7 separate regions of the Mus musculus genome follow, and regions 2, 3, 4, 5, 6 and 7 are each reported to be linked to region 1. The links are microRNA targets in miRTarBase. Many come from high-throughput screens and were not tested one by one. Region 1 holds a microRNA gene; each other region holds the end of a gene's coding sequence.

The links. The annotated mature microRNA mmu-miR-150-5p reads UCUCCCAACCCUUGUACCAGUG and lies in region 1 at 2,531-2,552, shown strand. An mRNA with a match to its seed (bases 2 to 7 or 8) in the 3' UTR can be bound and repressed. Matches are read on the target gene's strand: a 7mer-m8 pairs with bases 2 to 8, a 7mer-A1 pairs with bases 2 to 7 and ends in A, and an 8mer does both.
Region 2: miRTarBase lists Ripk2 as a target of mmu-miR-150-5p. Seed matches in the 3' UTR shown: 7mer-m8 at 3,392-3,398.
Region 3: the mRNA of Tprkb is a reported target of mmu-miR-150-5p. Seed matches in the 3' UTR shown: 7mer-m8 at 3,284-3,290.
Region 4: miRTarBase lists Mpp7 as a target of mmu-miR-150-5p. Seed matches in the 3' UTR shown: 7mer-m8 at 1,992-1,998.
Region 5: the mRNA of Cycs is a reported target of mmu-miR-150-5p. Seed matches in the 3' UTR shown: 7mer-m8 at 2,435-2,441.
Region 6: miRTarBase lists Slc25a39 as a target of mmu-miR-150-5p. Seed matches in the 3' UTR shown: 7mer-m8 at 3,262-3,268.
Region 7: the mRNA of Usp45 is a reported target of mmu-miR-150-5p. Seed matches in the 3' UTR shown: 7mer-m8 at 1,073-1,079 and 7mer-m8 at 3,075-3,081.

Annotation. Positions count from the first base shown.
Region 1 is chr7:45,119,232-45,123,429 of GRCm38, forward strand. Mir150 (microRNA 150) reads left to right here and starts at 2,526; the gene lies at 2,526-2,590. It overlaps Rps11 (ribosomal protein S11), which reads right to left. Exons shown (of 5, transcript NM_013725.4): 2 at 4,188-4,198; 3 at 3,932-4,007; 4 at 3,598-3,727; 5 at 3,157-3,327. The coding sequence ends at 3,204. Snord35b (small nucleolar RNA, C/D box 35B) reads right to left here and starts at 3,880; the gene lies at 3,794-3,880.
Region 2 is chr4:16,120,145-16,124,342 of GRCm38, forward strand. Ripk2 (receptor (TNFRSF)-interacting serine-threonine kinase 2) reads right to left here. Exons shown (of 11, transcript NM_138952.4): 11 at 2,597-3,747. The coding sequence ends at 3,410. Among named protein-coding and RNA genes, the nearest start is that of Ripk2, 41 kb to the right of the region's middle.
Region 3 is chr6:85,928,014-85,932,211 of GRCm38, reverse strand. Tprkb (Tp53rk binding protein) reads right to left here. Exons shown (of 6, transcript NM_176842.3): 6 at 1,928-3,436. The coding sequence ends at 3,350. Among named protein-coding and RNA genes, the nearest start is that of Tprkb, 14 kb to the right of the region's middle.
Region 4 is chr18:7,347,305-7,351,502 of GRCm38, reverse strand. It overlaps Mpp7 (membrane protein, palmitoylated 7 (MAGUK p55 subfamily member 7)), which reads left to right. Exons shown (of 17, transcript NM_001081287.2): 17 at 359-3,541. The coding sequence ends at 538. Among named protein-coding and RNA genes, the nearest start is that of Gm34979, 2.7 kb to the right of the region's middle.
Region 5 is chr6:50,561,867-50,566,064 of GRCm38, reverse strand. Cycs (cytochrome c, somatic) reads left to right here. Exons shown (of 3, transcript NM_007808.5): 2 at 397-573; 3 at 680-3,502. The coding sequence starts at 405. The coding sequence ends at 828. Among named protein-coding and RNA genes, the nearest start is that of Cycs, 2.6 kb to the left of the region's middle.
Region 6 is chr11:102,399,789-102,403,986 of GRCm38, forward strand. It overlaps Slc25a39 (solute carrier family 25, member 39), which reads right to left. Exons shown (of 12, transcript NM_026542.3): 10 at 4,003-4,084; 11 at 3,845-3,925; 12 at 3,181-3,747. The coding sequence ends at 3,632. It overlaps Rundc3a (RUN domain containing 3A), which reads left to right. Exons shown (of 11, transcript NM_016759.5): 8 at 100-257; 9 at 873-1,010; 10 at 1,106-1,212; 11 at 2,193-2,767. The coding sequence ends at 2,335. Among named protein-coding and RNA genes, the nearest start is that of Mir6930, 3.1 kb to the right of the region's middle.
Region 7 is chr4:21,833,487-21,837,684 of GRCm38, forward strand. It overlaps Usp45 (ubiquitin specific petidase 45), which reads left to right. Exons shown (of 18, transcript NM_152825.2): 18 at 749-4,198. The coding sequence ends at 879. Among named protein-coding and RNA genes, the nearest start is that of Pnisr, 12 kb to the right of the region's middle.

The DNA.
Region 1 (4,198 bases):
CTGGGTTGTGCACACACACTGTCAACAGGCTCTCCCATTATCACAGCCCACCGGGAGCCAGGGTAGCACACTCACCTGCAATCCCACCACTTTGGAGGCTCTGGCAGGATAGCTATGGATTTGAGGCTAGCTTGGGCTAAACAGTGAATTCTTGGGTAGTCTCAGCAACAGAGTGAGACAGCAAGTGTCTCAAAACAAGACATAACACAAAGAACCCAAAAAGGAGGAGCAGCAATGCTGCCTGACCATTCTGCCTTCCCCACCCAAAGAAAGTTCCACACACAGCCAGACCAAGCCACAGTTAGCAGGGCCAGGCCTGCCTGCCCTGTCTGCAGTTGGTGGGCCAAAGTCTGCTGTCACTAAACCAGGACCCTGTCCTGGGTGGTGCTGATGCACATTTTTGATCCCAGCATTTGGGAGGGAGAAGCAGGAAGTTCTTTGTGAGTTTGAGGCCAGCCAGTTCTACAAAGCAAGTTCCACAACAGCCAGAGCTACACAGAACCCTGACTCCAAAACAAACACCCAAGACCCTGCTGAGAAGCCTCACCCGCCCAGAGCCAATGGCTCCTCTCTGGTCTTCTCACCAGGCATGATTCGCTACAGAATCTTCTAGAAGCATACTTAAATGACTTCATCAAGCTTGCTCTAGAAGACACAGGTCCCATAACCATACATAACCTCTGCAGCTACCTGCCAAAGGTCATTCTCCTGGGGCCATAGAGTGACCTACCTGCACAGCTAGCTGCTAGCGTGGCCACCATTTACAGATGAGGAGACTCAAGGTCTATGGCTGAGTGAGCAGTGAGGCTGGTCAGTGCTGAGCCTGTCTCAGAACACCTGGATCCTGGGGCACCTCCTCACAGTTCCCACTTCCAGGGACTGGCTGTGCAGATATATACAGCCTTTGCAGCCAACAGGCAGGATGTAAGTTTGACAGGAGACTCAAGGAGGAAGTGTGGGCTAGTGAGCTGGTTCAGTAGGTAGAGGTATTTAAGACAAAGCATCATGGTCTGTTTGACTTGTGGAACCCACATGATGGAGAGAACTGAATCCTTTGACCTCTACATGGGGGTCTGTGGCAGGCACACACACACTCACTCACATTAGTATTTTCATTTTTGGAAGAGGTTATCACTATGCAGACAGCCTGACTTCAAACTCTGAGATCTGCCTGCCTCTTGAGTTCTGGGATCAAAGACGTGTACCACTGCTGGGTGTGGTGACACACACCTTTAAACCCAGCATTTAGTGGGCACAGTTTTGAGACTAGCCTGGTCTAAAAAGCAAGTCCAGGACAGTCAGGGGTGTTACACAGAGAAACCCTGTCTTGCAAAACAAACAACCAAAAACCCCAAAGATGGGTATCACCATACCAGGCTTCGTTTGAAACAGGTCTCTTGTGCCCTTAAACTGCTGATCCTCAAGTGTCTACCTGTCAAGTGCTGGATTGCAACTGCATGCCCTTTGTGTCCCTGAGGTGCTGCGGATGGTCGCAGGACCTTGTACTTGTTAGAAAAGCCCTCCACCATGGAGCTACAACCCCAGCCCCTCGCTGTCTGATTCTAGGAAGGCACTACACCTTTGAGCCACATCCCTAGGTCTTTAGTCTAAGACAAGGTCTGTGTTGCCCAAACTAGTCTCTGACTTCTGACAATCCTCCTGCCTCAGCTCAGCCCCCCTGGCAGCTGGATTATCACCAACGTCTACATGTGATTGGAACTGGATATTAGTTACTAAGTGAAAACTGGTGCCTGAGACTAAAGGCCCAAATGGGCTGTGTGTCACCTGGAATCTCAGCACCCAGGAGCCAAGAGGTGAGGAGAGTGTGGTCAATCTGAGGCTAACCTGGTCTACACAGAGCTCCAGACCATCTAGGGACACACAGCAAGACTCTGTAAAAGTCATATAAAACCATGATGCCTGGAAGACATTTCCACCGGGAGAGGTGCCAGGCGTGGCTGGCACTGGGGTTTGACAAACCAGAGTGCAGTAGGGGAAGTGCTAGGCTCTCAGGCAGTGTTCTTCATTTGTGCAAAGGCCTAAGAAGACAACCTCCACTCTGCAGATGACTAAACTGCTGAGGGGTCGTCAGGGGTCTCTCTTCTCTCAGGTGTCCCCTCCCTCACAGACTCTGCAACTTTGAAAGGTGAAGCCCCAAGCACCCCTGAGAGGAAACAGGGGAGCTGGGCTGTTGTAAACACAGCCCCACCCGGAACGGAAGCACCTGCGGCTGGAGGGGGCCACACCTCTCAACAATTGGCTTTAGATTCCTCAGGGTCCCTGTCCCCTGTAGCTCTGGGGCTCGCCCCTCCTCTGCTTAGTGGCTCTACTCCTGGGTGGCTGGCAGGCACCCAGCTTGGGCGGTGCCCCTCCTGACCTGTCCCTGCCCCTTCCTGCTCGCTTTGATGCAGGCCCACTTCCTTTGACAGGAACCCCCTCCCTCAGCAGCCTGGTTAAATGCAGAAGGCCGTGGTGAAGCAGTGCTTTCCGCAGCATCTCTTGCAGGCAGAGGACTCTTCTCAATGCCCTGTCTCCCAACCCTTGTACCAGTGCTGTGCCTCAGACCCTGGTACAGGCCTGGGGGATAGGGACTTGGGAACCCCAGCAGCAACAACTCCAGCTTCTCCCTCCAGCCAAGGGACTTTTCCCCAGGTTTGGCCTACATACAGGGGATGCCTTGGGTCCCTTCCTAAGTGGGTGTTCCCATCACTCCAACATCCATCCTGGACAACCTGGGGCCTTCTTCTCATCTCACTGCTGAAGGGTTCCTGTCCTTGTTGGCCCTGTCCCTGGACATAAGCCAGAGGGGAGGCAGTGGCTACAGGGGTTCAAGCAGATCATGATACTCAAGTTGGAGAACTTGCCCCTTCCTAGGTGTCTTCACCTGCAAGGTGAGTATGGGAAGACCAGAGACCCAGGTGGTTCCCAGGGACACTGAAGAGCTCAGACCTAAACTAAGGTCAGAGGCTCCACCCTTACTTCCTCCTGAGAGGCAGGCAGAGCAGGGGCTGCCTGCACCAGGTAGCTGACCCTGGGTGTTCTACTTGGTTACCAAGATTTAGAGGCTCATAAATGCAGCAGATACCTCCAGCTCAGGAAAGCCCTGGCAATCTTTGCTCTGTCCCAGGACACATGAGACTCCAAGCCTGTTCTGTACGTTGGAAAATAACTTTATTTGTTCTAGGGCATTGGCCAGAGTCCCCTTAGAACTTCTGAAACTGCTTCTTGGTGCCAGCAGCCTTGGTGACCTTGAGCACATTGAATCGCACAGTCTTGCTCAGGGGCCTGCACTCTCCAACTGTGACAATGTCTCCGATCTGTACATCCCTGTGGGGTCAGACAAGGAGTCTTCAGGAGGGGCCTCCCCAGCAATTCCTTCATCCAGACAGGCCAAAGGGGTGGGGGCCACCCTTGCTCCACCCAACCAGTCACCATCTACGCAGTTGCTAAGACTAACAAACTACAACTTCTAGTTCCCAGACGTTCACACAGCAGTCTACACACTCCTGGACCCCACACTGCTCTGCCCATGGGACACCTCCAGCCTAGCCAGTGACTGTCTTGTCTAGAGTCATTATCCCAAGCTACCAGAGTCACCTGAAACAGGGGGACAGGTGCACAGACATGTTCTTGTGACGCTTCTCAAAGCGATTGTACTTTCGGATGTAATGGAGATAGTCCCGGCGGATGACAATGGTCCTCTGCATCTTCATCTTCGTCACGACACCTGGGAGAGTAACAGAAAGGTGTTAGCAGGTAGGAGTCAGTTGAACGGGGCTCCCAAGAAGCTCCATTTATGGCATCAGCTTTGTCAACTGGCTGTCTCAGCAGTGCCCTAGAGGACATCTGAAGACCATCGTGAGAACAGACATCACTTGCCAGCGCCCCTGGACGCAGGAACCTAGAACCACCCTTCCAACATCCCACTCACCAGACAGGATCCGACCTCGGATGGAGACGTTACCAGTGAAGGGGCATTTCTTGTCTATGTAGGTACCCTCAATAGCCTGCAAAGTTAAGAAAGTGGGGTTTAGATTACCACTTCCTAAACAGAACCAAGGATGACGCCTCAGGGCCCATACTACAATTCCCAGGGGCCCATGGGAAGCCACTGTGAAGGGGGCGGGGTGGCTGTGCTCCCACACGTGCAGGGCAGCAGGGATCTCATCTGCTGGAGGGTCCTGTACCTCTTTAGGCG
Region 2 (4,198 bases), not on the chromosome of region 1:
TTTCATATATGCACACTGACCTTCCTTGCATACTGACCTTTTCACCTTTCTACTACGTCTATTCACCTTCCCTCATCTTCATAGAACTCTTTCTCATGTTTATGTCTATTTATTTTATTTAATATCTCACCAATATTAACCAGAGCCATTTGTGTGACTGTGGGTTTGGAGCTGTCCATCACAGCCAAGTATGCTCAACTGGGGGAAAACAGCCACTTCCTAGAATTTATTGATGGCCAGTAGTGGAGAGGGAAAGGCAGGACCCATGAGCACTCTGTACTCCTTGACTCATTGTTGATAGAGCTACTTGTATAGCTCAGGGACCTACAGTTGATGTGTTACTAATTAAAATGGATATACCCAGTTTAGGGAATGAAGCTCTGTATCCCTTTTCCTATAGTCTAGCTCCTACATATTTCTTTAGTCCCTGTTTTAAAATGTTTCCAAAGCCTTAGAGAGCATGGTAAAAGTGACTTGTTTAAGGCTGGGCTTGTCTTGGGTTGTATTGTTTAGTTTAGTTTACTTAATTCAGATAGCTGTCTCATTACATGTAATTTAAGAACATTCAAGTAAGAACCCAAATAAAACCAGATGTTAATTTGTCTTTAAACATTATAGCCAGTGATACTACATTTGTCTATAATCTCTCCAATATAAAACCACATCCACACCTTGGTGGCCACCAACTGTGAGGGTTTGAAGTTCCCTGTTTTAGCACTTTGGACTTCCTTTTTTTACTCTCTGACTATCTGGAGGGAGCTCAATAGGGATTACAAGGGAACCAAGCTCAACCTTGGCATAGTGTGGCCAATAGAGGCTTCCAGTAAGTGTTCAAAATTAAGAAGGCATGCAATTTGCACAAAATTAAGCCTTTCTCCTTTCCTTAATGAGAAGGTTCAAAACAAAACAAAAACTATTATTATGTAGCTCAAATGATACAATGTTCTGAATCTCTGTTCTACATAAAAATAATTCTACTTATTATTGTCTGTATTTGCATACATCTTGGGAAGCAGGACTTAAAGCGAGCATCTTGCCCTGTTCTGCAGCTTTCATTTCACTATTCACTAGAGTTATTTAGAAAGTGCCCACTCTATGCCAGGCCTTGTTGTGTGCTGACTGGTCATACTTAGCACAGGGTGTCACTTCCCTCAAAACAAGGACATGCAAACATTCAGTATAGGTCACAGTGAAAATTGTCCGCTGAAACCAGTAATACCACTAAAGGAGGACAGCTTATTGAAGATTCATCTTAATTGTTAACACCATAGGGATTTGCTTTATTTTGGGGGGGGGGGCACCATGTTCCAAGACAGAGTTTTTCTGTAGCCCTGGCTGTCCTGGAAATCACTCTGTAAACCAGGTTGACCTTAAAACTCAAGAGATCTGCCTGCCTCTACCTTCCTAATATTAGGATCAAAAGCATGTGCCACAACTGCCCGGTGATACCATCTTCTTATTGTTCAGTGTGTTCTATTCATGTAGAAAGTTGTGGGGCTGTGACGATGGGTGACTATACATAGGTATTCCTTACAGTAAGTCACAGGAGAACAACGGGTGGGTTATAAGCATGTAACCAAGACAGTGGGTCACACATTATGAATTGTACACTTTGCAGCAAAAGGGAAGAGCAGAGAAAACTTCATGTATCAATCTACATATATCATACACAATCAGTATAGAAAAGAGGAGGGAGTGAAGGGGAGAGGGAAGGAGAGAGAGACAGAGACAGACAGAGACTAAAAGAGAGTAATTAAAAAACCCTTCCTTTTTTTTTTTTTTTAATTCCCAAGTTCAATCTTTTTGTTGTTTGTCTATTGGAGACCTGTCCCCAATAGCCCAGGCTTGCTTTGAGCTTGTTAAGTAGCTAAGGATGTTTCTAACTCTTGATCTGATGCTTCCATTTCCAAAGTTCTGGGATAACAGGTGTGCCACCACACCCGAATTTTTATTTCATACTTTTAAAAGAATTTAATCACAACTAATAAGTTTAATTGATTTTTCTTTTTTTCCTTTTAAATTTCTGTTTCTGAAAGTCCCATAAGAGTCACATCAAAAGTTAATGTCATTTTAAAATTGCATTTAAATTCTTTAAACATCTTCCCATATAGATTCATATATATACATATGTATATATATATATATATATGTATATATACATATATATATATGAATGATTGTTTTGCCTGCATGTAAGTGCACTGTACACCTGCCTGGTGGTCTTAGAGACCAGAAGAGAGTCTAGTTTCCCTGGAACTGGGGTTATTGCTGGTTGTGAGGCATCATGTGGGTGCTAGGAGCAGACCCTGGTCCTCTCCCTGAGCAGCCAGCTCTTAAATGCTGTGCTCAGACATCTCTCCAGTCCTGCTGTTTACATTCTTATTTCAAATTAAGGAATATTTCATTGTCTCCATATGATCTAAGTCCTAATTCAGATTGTTTTAGGTTATGAGTCTGGTGCGTCTTGCAAGTTTGAGTTTTCAAATTCATTCTGTTTCTCACTTTCTTCTAACTGTTAAACAGTTTTCAGAAAAAGGTATCACTTTGTATAGTTTCCCTTTACTGACATACGCTAATTACCAGAAGATAAAAAGAATGCACACTGTATTGCCTTTTTATTGTTTCTCGTCAAGTTGATAAGAGCAATCTTGGAAAATCAAACACAGAGAGGCGTGGCCGACATGCGGTGATTGAACGGAGTTAGCTGTGTGGAGGAGTGTACCTGCCTTCAGTTCAAAAACCATGGTGTTTTACAAAGAAAATAGCTAAGTAAAGGTCGGCTTCTACCCAACCCGCATATGCTTAAAACAGGAGCCGGAAGCAGGCTGCAGCAGGATGCACAATGGGCTGCTCGCTCTGGAGACAGACAGGAGGCAAAAGTTAAGCAGAGGTCCACGGCTGGCCAGTGTTAATTTTTTCTCCCCCGCTTCTTTATATACTCTACATTCCTTGAGACCACCTGCTAAAGAATTTGTAAGTCAAACTTAAAACCGAGTAACTCTTTGGAGATCTGAACTTGGGATTGGCAAATGGGGAGCCTGAATCACTGCTATGTAAAGTCAAACTGCACTCTAGACGAATAATGAGGAATCCGCAGAGAAGGTGAGTGTGAAAGTGTCTTCCATCAGAAACAAAGGCCACTTTAAGGCACTGTTACATACTAGAAAAATGTAATTATCACATAAAAAGTTCAAGTAGTGAAACTGACGTAAAAACTGAACTACACAGCATAAAGCAAACTTTTTACTTATATTAATTTAAAAAAATACTGCAACGTCATGGGAAGAGACTCTTCCATCAACCTTCAGTGAAGCGTCTAATACTCTCATGTTTTCTATACAAATATTATACAGGTAACAGAAATATAAATAACCATTTGTAAACTGACTTCCTCCCAAAGAAGGCCCCCTTACAAGCTTTTATTCTGAGGGAAATTTGAAGGCGGTGCTTTGGAAAGCACAGGTACTTCTGGGTAAGGCTGCAGCCCCAGCTGCTTGTTATCTTTCAACTTCTGCACTACAACTTTGGCAAACTCTTCTCCTTGGATGTCAGACGTATCTAGCAGCTGTCTGACTTTTGAGGTCCTTGTAGGTTTGGTGCTAATGAGTTCATAGTCCTCCTTCATGATCAGGTCACGAGACAGAAGGGCGTCCAGCGATTGGTTAAGGCAGGCTTCAGTCATCTGGCTCACAATGGCTTCCCTCTTACTCTGGATCCACTGTTGGGCTATACCAATTGGTGGGCGCTCTGCAGCAAAGCAATGCATGAGAATTACCAAGCTGAGGATACGTAGAGGCAATGAGTGTAATTCTGTGTGAATGTGAGTAAGCAGAACTCTCATTCCCGTATGACTGCGGGTGTGAAGAGTATTATTTGAAAGTGCTTCTATTATCCAGGAACTATCAAGAGACTTGAGTTTTAGCTCCCCATTCACCTTCCAGAAAGAGTATTATATTTTTATATGCTATGTTGTAGGGCAAAATGACTTGAATTTTTGTTTAGTTTCAAATATAAAGGATACCTGCCGATGTGATAAATGAAAACAGTTTCGCCTTTACTAACACTGAAAGTAACGCTGCTTCTTCCCACTTCCTTCTAGGTCAGACATTCCTGGAATGCATTTGGTCAGCACTGAGTCTGGAAATGCTCTCCTACTTAAACAAATACTTACTGAAGTATGGAATGAACACTAAGAAAA
Region 3 (4,198 bases), not on the chromosome of region 1:
AGACTTGGAGACAAACATAGATTGTGCTTACAAGATCTGAAGGGTCACAGACCAGAGCTGGGTGTAGAACTGAGAAGAGAACCAGCAGAGGTAGTTTTTGTCATGGCAGAGGAGTAGGAAATCGGTGAGACTAAAGTAAGGACTGATTCTATGGGGAAGATGACTCATGATGCCCAGTCTTGTAGAGCTGTTCTTGTGGGCTCACAGGCCAGCATCACCTTAAGTAGGCCTGACATACAGCTCTGCATTTCTAAAAGGACATGGGGATGGAAGCACCCTACAGCTGGCACTCCTGGAATTCAGGCTGTGCCAGGAGCCATAATGGGTCAAGCTAATATCTAGCAGGTGATTGTCCTGAGATGGCCTGCTTTGGATTATTATATAATCTGTGACAGGTTTGCCCTTATTAAGCAAGGCTGTAAGGGATTTGTTTTAGGAAAGATTCCTGCTATTAGTATGTTTTTCCTAATATGTTATTATTCAACATATATATCACTAAGTAATAGCACACCCCTTTGGAGCAGATCTCTGCAGATCCATGAAGATGTACTGTCTTGTAGTGATGCTACATAGACAAATACGTGACTTGTCTTAATGATGATCCTATTAGAATCCTTAAAATTATATCTGTGATTATTAAGGTTTTTTATAGTGGGACTGCTAGCAGGATGAAAGTTAGAGCTGAGCAGCTCCTGCTGAGATAGTACAAAGGCTTAATCCTTTGCTGTTTGAGGAAGATGTGCTAAGTGCCAGAAACTGTAGTTTCTGGCTTCAGAGGATCATAGAAGGCAGGTCAGCTACAGTAGCATAGTAACTTTGACTTAGATAAGTAAACTTTTTATTATTATACAGCAACCCTCAATATCTTGTAAGACAAAGTCTTACCCTCCACCGATGCCCTTCCCCCTCTGCTGCCTCAAGAAGAGCTGACAAGAAAGAGCACCCCCACTGGAGTTGGCCCCAGCAAGGCTGAATCTAGTCCGAGTTCAAAGGCTCAGGAACTCCAGAAATTCAGGTGCTTTGTGCGTGATTGGGTCATCTTGCAAACCTCTGACACAAGGCTGGGATGGGATATGGTGCTGTGCATATATATATATGCAAGGCTGTCCCTCCTTCTCAGTTAGTTCCTCTGTAAAATGGGATACTATTAGAGATGTGGGGTATTTTGCTCTCTCCCACCCTAGGCTAGAGACTACTGATCACAGAGATCCAGGCACCCCTAAGTCAGTAATTTGTGACACTTGGGAATTACTGGGAGTCCTGTTTCATTCTGGCATCACCTCTGATACAGCTTAACTCCAGAGGGGTCAGTCAAGCCAAACCTTGCCACTGACCAATTCCAACTACACAGAGACCCCTTGCTCTGCCACTCTTAACACAGGTGACTTGGTTACTAGGACTATATCCCTCACCCTTTCTTGCCATGTGGCTCTCCTTGACCCTGGCTGGCTTTGATGGTCACCGTAATATGTTTCTGTCTGTCATCACCAAGGTCAGCCTTCTCTGGCTTCTGTGAGATCTTCTCCACACTAAGCCCAGCAGTATCCATCCTAGAAATCTGCATCCCTTGAGCTAACATCCCAGCTGCACACTCAATGTGGGGTCCCTGTAACAGTCCATATGAGGCAGGGACACTGAGAACTTGCACACACACACAAACACACACACACACACACACACACACACACACACACACACACACACACACAATAGTGAGAAGAGGCATCAAGATTTCTTTCATTTTGGACAATCTTGGGCAAGTGTGCAAGAGTCACTTATTCTTTGTTCTGTATCATCCTCTGCCTCACCTCCATGGAGCAGGCTTGTCTGAACATTCAAGAGGTGTGACTCAGAAAGGAATTTGGGGTGTGGGGTATGTCTTAGTTAGGGTTTGACTGCTGCAAACAGACATAATAACCAAGGCAACTCTTATAAGAACAACATTTAATCGGGCTGGCTTACAGGTTCAGAGGTTCAGTCTGTTATCATCAAGACAGGAGCATGGCAGTGTCCAGGCAGGCATGGTGCAGGAGGATCTGAGAGTTCTACATCTTCATCTGAAGGCCGCTAAGAGAAAACTGGCTCCCACACGGCTAGAAGGAGGGAGGGTCTCTTAAAGCCCATGCCCACAATGACACATTTCTGCCAAGGTCTTACCAACTCCAAAAAGGCCTCATCTCTAAATAGTGCCACTCCCTGGGCCAAACATATTCAAACCACCATAAGGTACCCAGAGAACAACCCCAGAACTGCACTATGAGAGCACCTGGCTTTGCAGACTTGGCGCTTTAGAGGGGACTGGAGGGGCAGAACTGACTGTGCTTGTGGGAAGAACAAGGGGTCACCATTTTTGAACTTGTGTGAATGAAAAGAGGTGAGCAATACCTGCCACTTCCATGTGGATGCTTTTAGGTTTCTCTGCCCTCCCCAGAGCTTCTGACAAGCTGCACAGTAACCTAGAAGCCCAGGCTGAGAAGCCCCCGCAGAGGGCTCTAAAGCCCTGCTGTGGGTTTCCCTCTGATCCCTTCTGCCTTCAAGATAACAAAATGTTTCCTTCTGCTGTACTAAGCCAGTGAGCTTTAGGGTTTGACTGTCACTATGTCCTAGCCAACTCTGGAGTCTACAGTCTCAACTCCAGGGCTGCCCACTGCTTGTTCAAGTCAAGGCTCACTGGACAGAGGCCACTCACTCTGTACCTGTCCTCTGTGGCTGCTTTCAGACTGCAAAGGTCATATTGAGTAATTGTAGCAGGAACCAGATGAGGCGGCCTTTGAGGAGCAAAGTACTTATCTGGCTCTTCACAGAGCTTTGCTAACCCTTGACCAAGCCTATCTTGATGGATACAATCCAATACAAGATAAAGTGAGGGGGAAAAGGAACCATCAAACATGGTTTTATACTAGTTACATGACCCTGGGCTAGTCAGTTAATACTGCTATACTCTTTTAGCTGCCTCTTGTATAAAGTGGGCACAAAGACATATCTACCTAAAAAGCAGCTAAGAGAGTTAAATGAATTGCTATTTATTGAGATAGGATTTGACATAGTACTTTAGGCTGATCTGGAATTTGTGGCATATCCCAAGCTGACCTCAAACTTGCAGCTTTCTCCTGCCTCAGCCTCCTGAGCAGTGGACTGTAATGAGTCACCACACCTGGCTTAGAGTTAATTTTTTTTTTTTTTTGGTTTTTCGAGACAGGGTTTCTCCGTGTAGCCCTGGCTGTCCTGGAACTCACTCTGTAGACCAGGCTGGCCTCAAACTCAGAAATCCGCCTGCCTCTGCCTCCCAAGTGCTGGGATTAAAGGCATGCATCACCACGCCCGGCTTTCTGTTGACATTTTAAACATCTTATAAAACATCCTTCGTTGACATTCTACAAATGATAGCATCCAATAACGTCCCAATCCTCTCTTCTTGTGATGACAGTTTATATATCTGTAAAAGTGAATGACACTCTATGAATGCTGTGTCCACGTGCTACTATTACATAAACAAGTATATGTGGTTTATCATTTCACTACGGCATTAATGATTTGAAATCACAAATACATTTAAAATATTCAAAGTTGTTGGCAATTTGTCATTAATGTCAAATATTCTTTTGAAGTGTAGTTATTAATATTAAAAAACCCAAGTTGCCTGAACATATAAATCATATTTATATCAATTTTAAGAGTCCAAATCTAGCAATTAACTTCATAAAGTCATTTAATATTGAAAGAGATCCTTTTTCTTAGTTTTCATTATGCATTTGAGTTTTCATTTATAAATACTTTCCAAGAATTTGTAAAATGATGTTACTATTTCTAAAGCTTTTTAAATTTTTACTGGTATGGGTGTTTTGCCTGTAGTATGTATACTACATGTGTGCAGTTCCCATGACGGCCAGAAGAAGACATTGGATTCCCGGGAAGTGGAGGCAGAGATGGCTATGAGCCTGCCAGGAATCAGCCCCTGCCCGGCACTTGGGGAGGACAGCAAGTGCTCTCAACTGATGAGTCATCTTCCAGCCCTGCACTAGTACTTAAAAGTTCAAAAGGTATTGAGAATAAGAGAGGAGGCAGATATGAAAAAGAGCAGTAACAGGATTTGTATAAATGTAATGAGTCCCAGTATTTGTATGCTAACTAAAATGTTAATCATTCAAAATTTATACAACCACAGTGATGAGCAAGCAGTGTCAGCAGAGTTCATCTA
Region 4 (4,198 bases), not on the chromosome of region 1:
GAATTATTTTCCTGTAATGCTTCCAACACTAAGGAAGTAGTTTGTGTTATACTTTATTTCTTGTGACCAAACATAAATAGCCAAGCCAGAGCATCAGAGTAAACAGCACCCCTGCTATCCATGACAACAGCAATGTGTCCATGCAATCGTGAGTTAGTTATGACCCTGAAGGGAGTTCAGCTAAAGCTGATGTTAGCAGTAAAAACCTCTAAAAAGGTAGTGAAGGTGATTTTGTTTCTTTATTTTGTTTAAAGTTTGAACACATAACAGCTTTAGGTAGTCATTGTAGAATGTTTACATTTATGTGAAATAATGCAGTTGTCTGGTTACTTAATTTGTTATTACTTGTTTTTAATAGGAAGAAGACTTTCAGGAAATGATTAAATCAGCACAGATAATGGAAAGTCAATATGGCCATCTTTTTGACAAAATCATAATCAATGATGATCTTACTGTGGCATTTAATGAGCTAAAAACAACATTTGACAAACTAGAGACTGATACCCATTGGGTCCCAGTGAGTTGGTTACATTCATAACTCAGAGAAATGTCCTTAATTGTCTTTTTACAGAGTTGCATGGTTAGATCAACTACCATGGTTTTGGTAGGATTTTTTTTTTAATAATTAGTATCACTGTCACAGATGTAAAGTCTTCAATGTCAAAGTCAAAATTTCAGTGCTGGTTTGTTTATGTCTTTCACAGCCTTATTTGAAGCACATAAGTGTACAATCTAAGTCAAAATCTGCACAATGCTATAGTCTTAGCAAAACTTGTATTTACTGGTTTTCTTTAATCTGTTTCTTTGTGAGAGGCAGTAGGTATCAAAGTTCATGCCTCACTTGGGCTCAGGTGTGCTCACAGCCCTTCACTGGGCATGCTTACAGTTGAAAGCATGGGCTTGGCAGCCTTGAGCAAATCCACAGATTTAACTGAGCTGGAAATAAGACTCTCCTTTAAAAAATATGTTCTTCATGTGCACATCTTTAAAACAAAGAAGAAACTCAAATCTTTTCTTGAGGAAGTAACTCACATATTATAGCTTAGGAAATCCTTATGAGTACATATTAGTGATGCCACCAATATTATATAAGAAAAATCTAATTCTCCTGTTTAAGATGAGAGTCTCACTATGTTGTCAACACTAGCCTTGAACTCAGCCTTTGTTTGCCTCAGCCTCCTGAGTACGGGAACATGCCGCTGCATCAGGCTTAAAAACGACTTAACTGATACTACAGATGTAGATACAAACTTTTCCTCATGGTTTAGTAAAAATGGCTCTGTCTTAGGGCAAGAAATGATTACACAGCACCACTTGCTTTAATCTATCATTCTTCAGAAGACATTTCTGGAGTCAGAAAGTTTTCTTCTCTTGCTTTGGAATTTCTCAACAAATTATAACAATGAGATAAGTATTCAAAAACATGTAACACGTGTTAGAGCACAGTGAAGGAAGAGGTGCTCATGTTTCTGGTGTGCAATCACCACACATGTAAATTGTCCTAAAGTGTGTTTTAGAAACCTTATATTGTGTTAAATTTTTGTCAACAAAATGATTAACACCAGCCAGATTGCATTTCAACCTATTCCAAAGGAAGGTGGGTTTTTAAATGTTTCAATGACATTGTTCCTTTTTCTATAATGCCTTAGGTCTCTAGCAAGTGAATGATTTGCAATACTACAAATATCCATAGTTCAATCTTAGAGCAGGTTCCTGCCAGTACTCTGAGCAGTACAGATTAGTCAATGGAAGATTCATCACATCTATGACTTGCATACAAAAAATTATTCTTGTTGCTTTGTAAAGAGTTTAAATATTATGTTTAAAGAAAAAATAAAATGTAGGGAAATTTTATATATTTGTGAGATATTTGAAAGGCATGTTTTTAAATTATCAAATGAGGCTATTCATAAGATAAATTGTATGTAAAGATATAATTTAAAATAGTTTTATGGGCCGGGCGTGGTGGCACACGCCTTTAATCCCAGCACTTGGGAGGCAGAGACAGGTGGATTTCTGAGTTCGAGGCCAGCCTGGTCTACAGAATGAGTTCCAGGACAGCCAGAGCTACACAGAGAAACCCTGTCTCGAAAAAAACAAAAACAAAAACAAATAAACAAATATATATATATATATATATATAGTTTTATAAGCAAGATCAACATTCCATGTAAATATTGGACCTTTTGGCAGATAGGTCCACACACATATTACATGTTCACTGCTGTTTGGTGGTGTCCGTGGCTAGCTTTCCTTAAGACAATGTCAAATTTCTGTGTGAAGCAGAAACAAAAACTTTTCTAGTGACCTCATTACATGTTCAAGCCCAACAGTCAGATGATTGGACTAATGAACACAGTTCATGGAAGTTCTGTGCTTATTAATTAAAGCCATGCAGCTCAAACACAGAGAGAAAGGCTACTGAATTTCTACTCTGATATCACTGCTTTGTGTGGACTGTCTAGAAGCACAAGTCTTAAAAAGTTGGTTTGGATGGAATGTCCTGTCCCTTGCTCGATGTGTACACTTCTCTAAAGGAACTTTCTAGACCAAGAATGGTGAGAAGTGTGTCCAGCATAGGACATTCTGAAATAGTTTAGGTATCCCATGTTCATACCTCAGGTATCTTTGCTGATTGTTTTTCTTCATCTGGTGACTGCTCTCTTCAGTTTTTATTTTGGGTTAGTGCTTGGGAAATTTGGGGTAGGTAGTGAAGGTGATGGAATGTCATGAAAATATAAATGTCTGCACCTGTTAGACCACAGCTGAGCATCTTTCTTTAAAAAATAAATAAACAGAAATAAAGCAGTTTAAGAAATCAGGTGGCATGTAGCCTTACCTGTTCTATTTCTTGATGCTTATAAAGAGATTTAATTTAAACATAAAAGCCAGGCCAAGATACCAACAGCATTTGGCCTTGCTGTGCTCTCTGACCTCAGCACTCCCACCACCAAGGAGAAAAATACTTTGCTCCTAGCTTTCAGCAGCTTGTTTCTGGGGTGCAGTGCCAGCCACTATTAGAAAAGCAGGGTTTCATTGTTTATCCATTTAAAGTTGAACCTGGTATGAGGTGCTTTTTTTCTCCTCTATCTCCCAGGTAGAATGGCCTAAAAGTAAAGAGATAAACTTGAAACAATAACCATGGCTTTACTGAGTAATGTGGAAACTTGGCATCTATAAGGCTGACATTCCTGGTACTATATAATCATCAAGTGTACCTAAACTGTAGTAATTTAAAGTGAGCAAACATGTAAACTCAGATTTACAAAACTATGGAATCAAAAATGTCCCTGAAGATTCAGATTTTCATTTATTTCCCTGTGGCCTATGATGGATTTATAGATAAATGTAATGGAAAGTTTTTTATTTTAATAAAGTATCTTCAAACAATATATCTGCTTGAAAGTTGTTTAGCACTTGAATATGCTATAATTGTTCTACCCTGTGCTGCTTTTTCCGTGGTGGAACAAATTCCATCCTTTGGTATTATATAATTTATTTGATCTTTCCATGCCTAAAATTAAACATTATATTTCTCTTCAAATAATGCTTTCAAGATTATTGGACAAACGAAATTCACTGCTCTTTGTCTCTTAGTAGAAGGTGGGGATGTGCAGAAGCAGAATGGGATGGAGAGTCCAGGCCAGTGTGTTGGCAACACCCATTCTCATCTTCTATTCATTTCCCCTGCTGGCAGACCCAGTTCCATAAGAACTTATCATCTGGGCCTAGGAAGACAAACTGTATTCTTTGGGGAGACTAATCAACACTGACTGGCTCCATCGTTGTGTCAGCACGGTCCTGCTCCAATAGAGAGACTATATGATACAGCAAGGTTAATCAATCAAGAGAGTCATCAATTGATCTTTGTGGGGCTGAGAGTCATGCTAGGCATACGTATGCATTGTGTCCCCAGTCCTGAATCTAAACTTCTTGTTTGATTTCCAGTTTTGAGTATTACCAGCTTTGAGACCTTGGGGCGGGGGTGGGGGGTTGTAAATGGAATGTCTCTGGTCATCCTGTCATACCAGGATGATGCACTTAGAGAGAGGCCAGGGCGGAATCATTCAGTGATGGTGAAACTTGATGGTGTTGGTGGTGATGATGATGCTTGTCATATCACAGTTAAAACTAGGTCAAAATTATTTACCTCTCTGTGTAGTAAACTCAGGAGTCACAGTAAGTACAATGAGCTTTA
Region 5 (4,198 bases), not on the chromosome of region 1:
CGGAGCAGGCGGAAGCACTTAGGATCACCCCCAGCCTCCCTTATCTTTGGAAGTGACTTTAATCGGCAGCACTGACAGCAGTTTAGCATTCTGAAATGTTAAGAGTTGTAGTGGTTTTGCTTTAATGAGTCCGGTTTCATATTTGTGACTTTTTGACCTTGCCTTCTTCGGAAACTGGGGTTTGAGCTGTGGGTTTCCATTTCCCTTGGCATGGACCTGTCTTGAGCACAGACTTGCTTTAAAGGAGAGTCTCCTAGGTGATGTATTTGCTATTGAAGAATATTGCAAGTGGACTGAGTTAGCACCCTGCCTGGTGTTAAGAGGACATAAGAATAGCGGTTTGAATGGTCATTGGGATCCGTAGTACGTTTTACTGTTGGATCTTTTCCCTTTTAGAATTAAAAATGGGTGATGTTGAAAAAGGCAAGAAGATTTTTGTTCAGAAGTGTGCCCAGTGCCACACTGTGGAAAAGGGAGGCAAGCATAAGACTGGACCAAATCTCCACGGTCTGTTCGGGCGGAAGACAGGCCAGGCTGCTGGATTCTCTTACACAGATGCCAACAAGAACAAAGGTAACGGGGGGAGCTGCTGTCAGCCACAGCACAGGTTGCTTGGGTTAACCAGTGCAGAATTACCAGGTGTGTAAAACACTTAACCTCTGCATCTCTTTCTGTTTAGGCATCACCTGGGGAGAGGATACCCTGATGGAGTATTTGGAGAATCCCAAAAAGTACATCCCTGGAACAAAAATGATCTTCGCTGGAATTAAGAAGAAGGGAGAAAGGGCAGACCTAATAGCTTATCTTAAAAAGGCTACTAATGAGTAATTCCACTGCCTTATTTATTACAAAACAAATGTCTCATGGCTTTTAATGTACACCATAATTTAATTCACACACCAAATTCAGATCATGAATGGCTAGCAATGTTTTTGTTGGACAGTCCTGATTTAAGTAAAACTGACTTGTCATAAAGTGGGTACGGTCTTTATTAAAGCAACAGTTCCAGTTGTATACATGCTACCACGGCTCTCCCTTTCTCAAGATAAGATTGGACTTAATTAGCAATGTTTTACTTTCCATAAATAGGGGCATGTCACCTCAAACCTACTAAATGGTTTTATACTTAGATTTATATAACTGGGCATATGAATATGCTTAAACACTGGGAAAATTCTATCACTGTCTCAGAAACAAGAAGACTCAAATGTGTTTCAGTTTGTGTTCACTGGCCTCTTTCAGGTCATGGCTAACCACCAGGAGGCAACTGTCTATTCTTGACAGTGCAGTTTTAATTAGAATTCCCTACATCAAGGATGTTGCCTTTTACTATTGAAAGGCATTTACTGTGGTTTATGTATGATATCAAATAAAGAGTATTTAACACTTCTTTATAGTTGATCTGCAAATTAAAATGCTTTTAGAAACAAGCAAGTTAGGCCTTTTAAATTCTCTATTTTCTAAGACTAAGTTGTAAATCAGAATTGTCCTTAAATACCCACTCAGAAACACACATAACTGGAATTCGATTAGGAATGGCACTCTTTGCTAACTTACTAGATGGAAAGATGGAAATAAAGGAAATAGTTTGTATCAGCAGAAAGAAGATAATTAAAACAACCACAGATCGTGATCCTTTGATTGTGCTTTGTTTAATGACAGTTAACATATCTTTAGTTGTTTAAATGTTCCCTGGTATAAAGCCATGGTCTAGTGAAGGTACTAGGTGCTCTTACCTTGATATCTCGGGCAACTCCGACTACAGCCACGCTTTACCCTTCGTTCTTTGGCCAGAATGAGATCTATAAAGGTGAATAATTATGTATTAGCTGAGTGGTCCTAAATTTTATAGAGAATGGCAGGGAAATGAGTGATAGTGGTGTCTTTGTGGGGGTGAAAAGGCTGGAGAAAGACCTCATCGTGACTTCAGACGTGTAGAAGATGATTAACTGGGCCTCAGGTCAGAGGCAGCACTTTGTGACAAATCTTACTTTATACAAGAAATTGAGGACAATCTGGAAACAAGTTTGGAAAGTTTTCTGTAATTTGGAGTTTTGGGCTGATGGGTAGGAATTTTTTTTTTGTTGTTTTGGACCTATTTTGTATGTATGGGTGTTTTCTCTGCATGTATATCTGTGCACTACACTTGAAGGCCAACCCAGGGTGTTGGATTCCTTGGGACTGGTGTTACAGCGGGATCTGCAGTGGGCGCAGTCCAGGCTGAGTCCTCTGGAAGAACAGCCAGTGCTCTTGAGTCCTCTCCAGCCCTGATAAGCTTTTTACTTTGTAGGTCCTTCAGAGATAGCTTTGTAATAACACTTGATGAGTCCCAAGTTTTTGTAACAACTTTCCAGGGCACATTTTAACTAATGTGTAAAGAAATAAAGCCCTGGAATTGCCGGGTGGTGTTGGCATACACCTTTAATCCCAGCACTTGGGAGGCAGAGGCAGGTGGATTTCTGAGTTCAAGGCCAGCCTGGTCTATAGAGTGAGTTCCAGGACAGCCTGGGCTACACAGAGAAACCCTGTCTCAAAAAAACAAAAAATAAAAATAAAGCCCTGGACTTGTTTTCTTATATTCTGGAAATGATAGAAAAAAAAAGTCATAATAAGCCGTTGAGATGAATATATAGACATTTGGCTTAAGATTTTATAACATTGGGCTTTCAATATAAATTCAAAGGGGCCTCGTTAGTGCAGCAGGTTGTGTGAGTCCTATAGTTTATAAACTCAGATTCTGTAACCCAGAAGTGGTGAAGCCATGATGACTTATTTCCTGACAGGCAACCTTTTCTGGGAGCCCAAGTAAAGGGTCCCTACTGATGACCAAACTTAGAGTTGTTATTTCTGTATCTATACCTAATACATCATCTAAGGCCTGTGTTACACAGATGGAACCTCCTGTGTTCTAAGGCTAGACTCAAGTAAGATACCCAGTGATGGAGAAGGTAAACCTGTGAGATGCAGAAAGGGGACAGTCTCTGTACACTGATTTTACAAGTCAGGAAGTGGGACCACTCTAGCTGATCTGCTTGCTCTTAGTTGCTTTGTAGGTGGCTAGTTCAGTGATACCATAAAGGAAAATCAGATGAATTTCTTCTCAGTTCCACCTGCATTCAGAATGCTTAGAAAAGCTCTACCCCATAGTCCTTCCTGTAATGGATCTTTTAGACATACTTGTCCATTACCCTGGTGTGGCTTTCAAACCCATGAAGTACATGTGGGTTGATGAAGTAGCTAATGGCTGCTGTATTTATGGCATTGACCTAGAACTAGTACCAGCCAGTTTAAGCACTTGCCTTCTGAGAATCTAGAATTAATGCACATAAAATTCTGATGCCTTTCTGAACACTGATTTAGACAATCCCTTTGATTTTACCATGCTTCATCTGTTGAGTTTAAGTTGTCTTTTTTAGGTGGGCAGGGGCACCATCTGTCTTCCGTTACACTTACATATTCATTTTAACCACTGAAGATTGCTAAATAAAGGACATGTCGGAGTACACACTCGCTGTCCAGGAAAACGGTCCTTAACAGACTTTTTACAGCTACATAGTCTTAGATGACATCATGTTAGTCAAATTCAGAAGTAAGCTGAAACCAATTCATTTCTAGGGATATCTCTTCCAGCTTCCTATTGTTAAAATATTTTGAAAGCCAAAGAATAGGCCCTGGATGAGAGCTGCGTAAATCATCCAGGTGAACTCATGCTTACTAGCATGTGAGTACACCCAGAACTCCTGTTTCCTGATGAAGCGTTGAAGCATTACTGAAGTACACACTGACCCTTGGCTGCATTCGTTAGTTTAGTAAAACATCAAGTATTAAGTTTAGAATTAATAATTGGGTTCTACATTATTTTGTTTGGGAATCTACTGTGCTTGAAAAACTGTCCTAAACTCTTACTCACAGAAAACTTAGGTTTACTATATACCTGTATTCTCAGAGAATTAACACAGTGGCTCATTGGCACTCTCCTGTCTTATCAATATAGCATACAGCTTATCATTCATAAGGACGACACATGACCAATGTGTAATGGCACTGAGTTCTTAGAAGTAGGCTGACTTCAATTGTTAGAATTTTGTTTTTTGGGTTTTTTTTTTTTTTTAAGATTTATTTTTTATTTATGAGTACACTGCAGCTGTCTTCAGACACACACCAGAAGAGGGCATCAGATCCCATTACAGATGGTTGG
Region 6 (4,198 bases), not on the chromosome of region 1:
GGCGAGGCGCGGGGAGCTGGGCGCGGTGGGGGCAGGGCCTGGGGCTGGGACTCCAGCTGGGACCCCTTTGGGCGTCCGGGCTGAGCCGGCGCCCCGCAGGGATACCTGGAGGAGCTGGTGCGGCTGCGCGAGTCGCAGCTGAAGGACTTGGAGGCGGAGAACCGGCGGCTGCAGCTGCAGCTGGAGGAGGCCGCGGCACAAAATCAGCGTGAGAAGCGGGAGCTGGAAGGCGTGATCCTGGAGCTGCAGGAGCAGCTGTGAGCCCGCCTCCCGCCCTGACCCCTGGGAACCCCAACATGACTCCATTGGCTGGGATCGCTTTTCTGATGACACCCAATTCGCATCAGCCTACCCATCCCATCCCCTTTCCCAAGATCCCGTGGAGGTTGCCAAACATTACCTGCCCCCCACATTAAGATCCCCCGCAGCTTCCAATACCCATCAGCTAGAGACACCAGCCATTCCTCACACGACTTTAGCAGCCTTCAGTTTTATCGTGTGCCACCCCCATTATTAAGGCCTCTGATAGGCATCACACACACACCCCCACCCCCAATCTGGAACATTTCCTCCCTGAACCTGACCCAGCTAGCTAACACGAATCCCACCCCTTCAAGAGTACCCACCCTTTCCATTCTCCTCCCTACATCACCCCAACTGACTTCTAAAAACTCCATCATGAGTGCACTAATCCTGGCCACCACAAACATGGCCTTAGATCCTAGTGCCATAATTCCAGACTTGGGCCATCCTCCCTGAGCAGCACAGATCCCCATTTTTACCACTCAAGTTTCCGTCCTAAGCCCTGCCCCTACCTTTGCTGAGTCTCGCTTCCCTCTCCCAGCCAGGCCTGATCCCCCTCCCCCTCCCAGGACAGGTCTGATCCCCGGTGACCATGCCCCCCTGGCCCAGGGTTCCAAGGAGCTCACCACATCCCTAGTCAACCAGTGGCCCTCCCTGAGCACACTTCATAGGCCCGAGGGTGCCAGCAACTCCAAGCTATATCGGAGGTAAGCCTCAACCAAGTGCTGTCCCCATACCCCAGTCCCAGGAAGTGGGGCCTGGAGCTGCGGGTCACTCCCTGCACTTTTCTGTTCTGCTGTAGACACAGCTTCATGAGCACGGAGCCGCTGTCTGCAGAGGCCAGCCTGAGCTCAGACTCCCAGCGCCTGGGAGAGGCCAAGAGGGACGAGGAACCCTGGGGCCCCATCGGTGAGCACACCCCACACACACTCACCCACCTTGGCACTTCAGAAAAGGGATAGGGCCCCTGTAGTCAGGCCGTGGCTGAACCCCTTATTCTCTCAACTCTTCCTGTACTTATACACCAATAAGGAGCTTGGCTTGAGGTTTCAAAACAAAAGTGCAAATTCGGGCCCCACCTCTTCTACCTGTAAACGAGGTCAATCTCTGCACTTGGCTGACTCAGATTCCCATCTGTAAAATAGGGATGTTGGTAAAGAGCCTCCAGAGTGCACGTATGGAGAGGGCGCAACGGCTTTCTAGTGTCATGACACTAGACACATGTTGCTGGCTCTGCCCACACACACACTGTGAACGGCTTGCCTGACCAATGTTTTCCCCTTTCTTTGGCTGCCAGGAAGCTCAGAACCAAATTAGTGGCTCCCTCTGAGCGAATGCCCAGGACTTCAACGCATGCATTTTGTGTTGACCCCTCCTTGGTTACTCCCTTCCTAGTTTCTTCCCCTATGCCTGGACCTCCTGCCTTTTTTTTTTTTAAATACATAGATATATATTATATTGTATTGGATAACTCGACTTTGAGACGAGGCAGGCTTTGGACATGTAACTCACCACACTGTGTTTGTGACTGTGTGTGTCTCCCCACCAGACTGTGAGCTCCGTGAGGGCAGGGACCATGTCTTGTCCATTCTCTGTATCCCCAGAGTGTGAAATAGAGCAAATGCTCACTGTGTGCTTAATAAATGGACAAAGAAAGGCTGAACCTTGGGGAGACAGAGACATAAACTGATGGTTTATGACACAGTGTCTCAAGCCCTGTGCAAGGAATGTTCAATCAAGGTTTAATTAAAAATGACAGATGCTCCAGAAGAGGCCACGTCCCCTGGGGGTGACTGGAGAACTGCCCCCCTTCTGCCCACCCACGAGGACCTCCTCCCCACATACAACACAGGCTGGTTGGCCCGGCCTTACCCGCCCTCTCTCCCTAGGGAAGGACCCCACGCCCTCCATGCTGGGCCTCTGCGGCTCCCTGGCCTCCATCCCCAGCTGCAAGTCCCTGGCAAGCTTCAAATCCAACGAATGCCTGGTGAGCGACAGCCCTGAGGGCAGCCCGGCGCTCAGCCCCAGCTGAGGAGCACCAAGGGCAACACCAGCCCCACCTGCCAGGGGCCATGGACAACTGCCACCTTATGAGTCCCCCAACCCAGGCCACCCTTCAAGAACACCACCAACCTAGCCTCGGGTCTCTAGGGAAAGATGACCCAAGCCTCTTTCCTGCTTCAGCTTCCTGCCAAGGAGGCAGGAGCTGCATGGGAAGTGGTGGGGCCACGAGGGACACCCAGATTACAGATCCTCAGTCCCCTGGGGACAGCGCTCCATTCTGGTGGCTCTGAAGGCTGCCTGGTTCCTTCTGATTTCTTCCACACCTGCCTCAGGAGCAGGTGGTCCAGCCCTGGCATTCCTGCTGCCCTGCCTCTGGTCTAACCCTGTGTACCCTCTGAAGTCACCCTTCCTTGGTACCTATGTGGGGAGAGATTAGGCAAATAAAAACCAGAGGACTGAAGTGGTTTCATCTGTTGGAGAGTGGGGTAAGGGCTCCCTAACAGGTCTGTTAACCAAGGTACACATGCCAGGAGGATGTGCCCTGGGGGACCACATGGGGCCATCATTCAGGGTGTGGGCTGAGTGGGAGGGGGCTCCGGATTCTGTACATCTGCAGGTGCTTTCTGGATCTGACCCTTCTAAGACTTGCTCTCACCCCAACACAGTGGGCCCCACATGAAAGGCCCTTACTACCTACCAGACAGGCACCTTTCACCCAGATCTGTCTGGGTACCCCCTAAGGTGGGAAGCTTTTAAGACAAGGTCTCTGGATGGCCTGGAGCTCAGTATGTAGGCCAGGCAGGCTTCAGATCTGCTCGCCATGAACTCTCGGGGCCACCATACCTGTAGATGCCAGCTTTTTGTTGCTGTTGGTTTTTTTTTTTTTTGTGAAGATAGAATTTGGCTGTGTAGTCCTGGCTGGCTTGGTATTGGAGGCACTCCTCCTGCCTCAGCCTCCCAAGTGAAGGAATAACAGGTGTGGGCCACTGTGTCTGACTGGGGACCCCCAAACGTGCACACGTACCCCAAGACACTACAGCCACAGCTGTGCACAGAAGACCATCATCTTTAGACAAGGAATGAATGGGGCCAAGATACTGCCTGGCCCAAGCTCCTCGGGCCAAGCTATAACAAACATGGGGATACAAAAAAGGGCGATCATCAGATTTGGTCTTGAATTCGGGAGGCGGGAGAGGGGCAATCCTGGGAAGGGAAACAGCAGGAATCCAGGTCTGAGGACAGCCTGGGTGACTGGACTGGGAGGGAAGGCACTTGGCTCAGTCTCCTGATCCCACCCGTGCAAGAGCCGGTTGCTCCCCGACTTTCAGCGGCCCAGAGGCTGCTCCTGGTTGAGCCTCTGGAAGAAGCTTTTGCCAAACTCGTAAGTGCTGATCATGATGGCACAGGAGGGTGCAGCCTTGATGATCCTGGGGAGGAAGCCTGTGATGGAAAGACAGACCACAGTGAGGGGTCCAGGTCCCCTCACACACACAGCATGGATATGTATCATATATGCAGTGCATTCACAGAGACAGACCTGCAAAGAGTCCCCTGGTGCCAGATTCAGCCCGGATTCTGCGAAGCAGGAGCCAGGTGGAGTCCACTCTGGGCGGCTTCACTGCAGATGCAAGGCCCGGCTCAGTAGGGCTCAGCTCAGGCCCCTGCCTGCCCTCTCCCCTCACCAGCCCAGCTTACCTCTCACAGCCTCCACCGCTCCCAGTGACATCTGTCGCTGTGTCTTCACCACATCGAAGGGTAGGGTAAGGGTGGCAGCCACCTGGTCAGGTGAGGACAGGGCTCAGCTCCATTCCCAAGCCCTGAGAGGGACTAACGCATCTCAAGGGCGGCTGAGGAAAGCACACAGGCTCCCTGGCAGGCATTGCAATGTTCT
Region 7 (4,198 bases), not on the chromosome of region 1:
ATTGAAAATGTAAACGAGCTAAATACCTAATTAAAAAAAAAAAGAAAAAAAAAGAAATTTTTAATTTAAATAAAGCCATCGTTGAGCCAGGAAAAAAAAAAAAAAAAGAACAGTATGTGGTCTTAACTGATGAGCCATCTCTTTTACCTCCCCTTTATTAGTTGTGGTGTTGTTAGGTTGTTGTTTTATTTTGACATAGGAGCTCACTATGTAGCTCTGTCTAACTTGAAACTTACTATATAGATTAGGCTGGCCAAAAAATCACAAAAACTACCTGCTTTTACCTCCCTTATGTTAGGATTAAAGGTGTGTACCACCATGTCCATCTCTGTTATTAGCTTTTAACATATATTTATTATTTGTGTGTGTGTTGTATGTATGTGTGCCTATGTTTGGCTGTCAGAGAACAATCTCATGTACTCAGTTCTCTCCTTCCACCTCTGTGTGGGCTCTGGGGATGGAGCTGCTGCCCAGGCTAGCACAGCAAGCCCCTTTCCTCCCTGCACCATCTCACCAGTTTCTCCACCTTCTTTTTTGGTGAAAATGAATATTTCTCTGGGAAACTAATTATTATAAGGCTAATATTTCACTAGATTTTTAAGTTAAAAATTTATTAACTGGAAGTAGTTATCAATCTTAGATCTTATAGATCTTAGAATTAAATACAGCTCATAATAACTGTGTCAGTGTTTACAATTTAGAAGACATAAACACACTAACTGTAAAATTGTACTTTCTGTTCTGCTAGGTTTGAAAGAACCTGATGGTGAATTGGGAGGCCACTGGGTCCATGTCAGCGACACCTATGTGCAGGTGGTTCCAGAGTCAAGAGCCCTGAGTGCACAAGCTTATCTTCTTTTTTATGAAAGAATATTATAATATCTGTTCATTGTTATTTAGTTCATTTTTATTTTAATGCTGAAGTCGTAACCATAATATGTAATGTGCCTTCTTAGTCTTTAGGAATAGTGCATCCTTCCAGCGTTATTTAACTCTTTCAACATGTGGTGAATCCTTTAAAAAAAAATTAATTAATTTGACAGGCAGTTGTGCATGCCTTTAATTCCAGCACTTGGGAGGCAGAGGCAGACAGATCTCTGTTTGAGGCCAACTAGGGCTATTCAATAAAACCTTGTCTTGAAATATTAAACAAAAAGTTAATTAATGCTTTCAAATCTATATTCTTTTTTTTTCTTTTTTTTTGCTTTTGTGAGACAGGGTTTCTCTGTGTAGCCCTGGCTGTCCTGGAACTCACTTTGTATCACTTTGTAGACCAGGCTGGCCTCGAACTCAGAAATCCACCTACCTCTGCCTCCCAAGTGCTGGCATTAAAGGCGTGCGCCACCACTGCCTGGCTCAAATCTATATTTTTAAATGTAAAAACATGTTTTATGTTAATTTTCATGTCCATGGAAATTGCCCCTACACACACACACACAGAGTTGATAGTAAAGCAACCCCCTCTATGATATGACTCATCCTTACATGCATTCAAAGATGATGCTAAATTGGATCTTTAGTATACTATTTCCTAATGTAATACAACCTTCCTGAGTGGATCCAATATATCTTATGCTACAATTTGCTTACTTTTTGTTGAAGCCTTTTTTAAGCTTGGCTGTTTTGAATCATACTTCACATTTTTATGTGCTAGTTATTTTTCTAGTAAACATTGATGTGAGTTTATAACTATGAAAGGAAAATCATACATCCTTGCACCACCCCACTTTAAATCATCTCAGGGCTCTGCAGTGGTGTGTGTGTTAGTCTATAGGAAAAGTTTCTAGAACAGTCTGAACTAGTGCCTAATGTAACATAATTAATTTTTCATATTTTATGTGAGTCAGTAGTATAAAAAGGAGCCATTGTAATTTTGGTAGTGTGAGTTTACAAGTAATGAATTGATTCGCTTATTGCTTTGAATATTTGAAGGTATTGAAACATTTCATAAACTAATCATTTGCAGTCTTTGAAAGATAATTTACAACACATAAAACTGGTAAATAGAAGTTATAGTCTATATAGGAATATAGAATACTTTAAAGTTTAAGGATATCTTTGAACTGTAAACCACCAAATTATATTTATAAATGGTAGAGATCATATTCTTATAACCAACAATGAATATATAATACTTTTTTACTTCTATACATTAATACATGTTAAGCATAGTTTTGTCTTCATAAGCATTTATTTAAAACTTCAGGTGGATAGTTAGGGTTGTAGTTCAATGGCAAAGCACTTGCCTGGTTCCATCCCTAGCAAAACAAAGAAAATATTCAGGTGGGCTTGGCTACTTTCATGGGACACAGACTTGCCACTTCTGTTCCCCTTAAATAAGCAGTAACACAGAATAGTTTCTTCTAGCATTCAAAGGATTGAACTGTGAAAACTTAGCATGAAAAATATTACTACCAAGATTTTCAATAATCAATGAAGTGGCTCACTGATACATAGTATTGAATCAAGATGTAAGGGAACAGGTTCAATGTCTTAGTCATCAGTGCCTGTGTTTGATTCTATGGGCAAATGTGAGGGAGAGAGGCTGTAAACTGTCCAGACCTTTAGCCAGGATGGAACCTTCTTAACATGTGTAACATAAAGTCCCCAGTGTTGCCTCTTGATATGTGGCTGGGTGAAACTGATTGTCTAATGGAGACATTTTAAGATTGTGGAGAAATTTTCAATGGTATTTGAATTTTTTTAATTGAAGGTGAAGAAATATATTTTATCTGTAGAGCCCAGTTGTGTCCTCTAAAAAGAACTTTCCAGTGTCTTCTGTTTCATCAGACATTCAGTGTTATTAATCTATTGACACGGAAGAGTCTAGCACCAGAGCAATGAATGAGAAAAATAATTTATTTGTTCAAGCTAGCCTGTCATAGCAGTTGCACCCACACCCCCAAACAAATGCAAGCGGTCAGCCTTTTTCCCCCCTCTCTCCTGGAAAAGATACTATTAAGACATGTACAATCTAAGCAGGTTCCAATACCGGGCATATGATAGTATTTTATGAGCCTTTAAAACAGAAAAACCTGCTGAGTGATGGTGGCCCATGCCTTTAGATTCAGCACTTGGGAGGCAGAGGCAGGTGGATTTGAGTTCAAGGACACCCTGGTCCACAGAGCAGGTTCCAGGAAAGCCAAGACAACACAGAGAAACCTTGCCTGAAAAACCTTGGGGAAAAAAAAAACACCCTAAAATCTATATGATTTTATACATTATTCTAGTAGTGATGTACAAATAAAATGTTCATTTATTACCTAGTTCTGAGGAGATTCTGGAATGTATTTTTTTTTAATGACCTAAAGTTTGAGTGTTTTTCTTGTCACCTGAAAATGTAGGAAAATGGTTTGATTTGATATCTAGGAATTTCTTATCAAGCTTATGTAATATAGAAAAATCACCCAGATCTACACTTAAATTTTTGTTCTTACTTTGAAGTTTTCCAAAGCACATTTGTAGAAATTTTAAATTGTGAGGCCACTGTACTAACAGATTACCTCAGGAAACCGTGCAAACAAACAAGAATGTTTACAGATCCGCACAACTAGTCAGTGCTTTGGCACCGTGAATTTGAAAGGTAAAAGAGAGAAGTTTTTATCTAGAAACTGGTTTACAGGGTACCTCTAGCCCCAGTTCTCCCCTGACTTTCCCATATTTAAAATAATAAAATTCTGATGATGTGCCAATTATGTGAATGCTTGTGACATAAACAAATATACATCTGTATTTAAGATTTGTTGTTTAATGTTTTAAAAAATAATATGAAGACTGCTTATGTAGGTGGTCAAGGGGATGATCATATATCAACAGAGCTATTTTACCATAGTTCTTAGCTTGCATGTGTGATTAATTAGTGATTTTTATGTAATACTTGAATAAGATATCCTGAAGATATGAAATGTCTTCGTGAAATGTAGCTGTGAAATGTCACCGCACATCAAATTTTTATAGTACAAAATAACATCCTGCCTACTTTCATGAACTTTATACTCAGCTTATTTTTCTGCATGACATCTGGTCATATAAACCTAAACCAAATATGTGCGATAAAATCAAGCTTTCAGCTAGCATCCATTGCAGTATTAGAGAAATGATTTCTGCATTAAAATGTTTTTGTTCATGCAGAAATCATCAATTGAAATGTGTTTAAAAGATGATTATTTTTAGGTATCAGTAATACATTCATGGTATC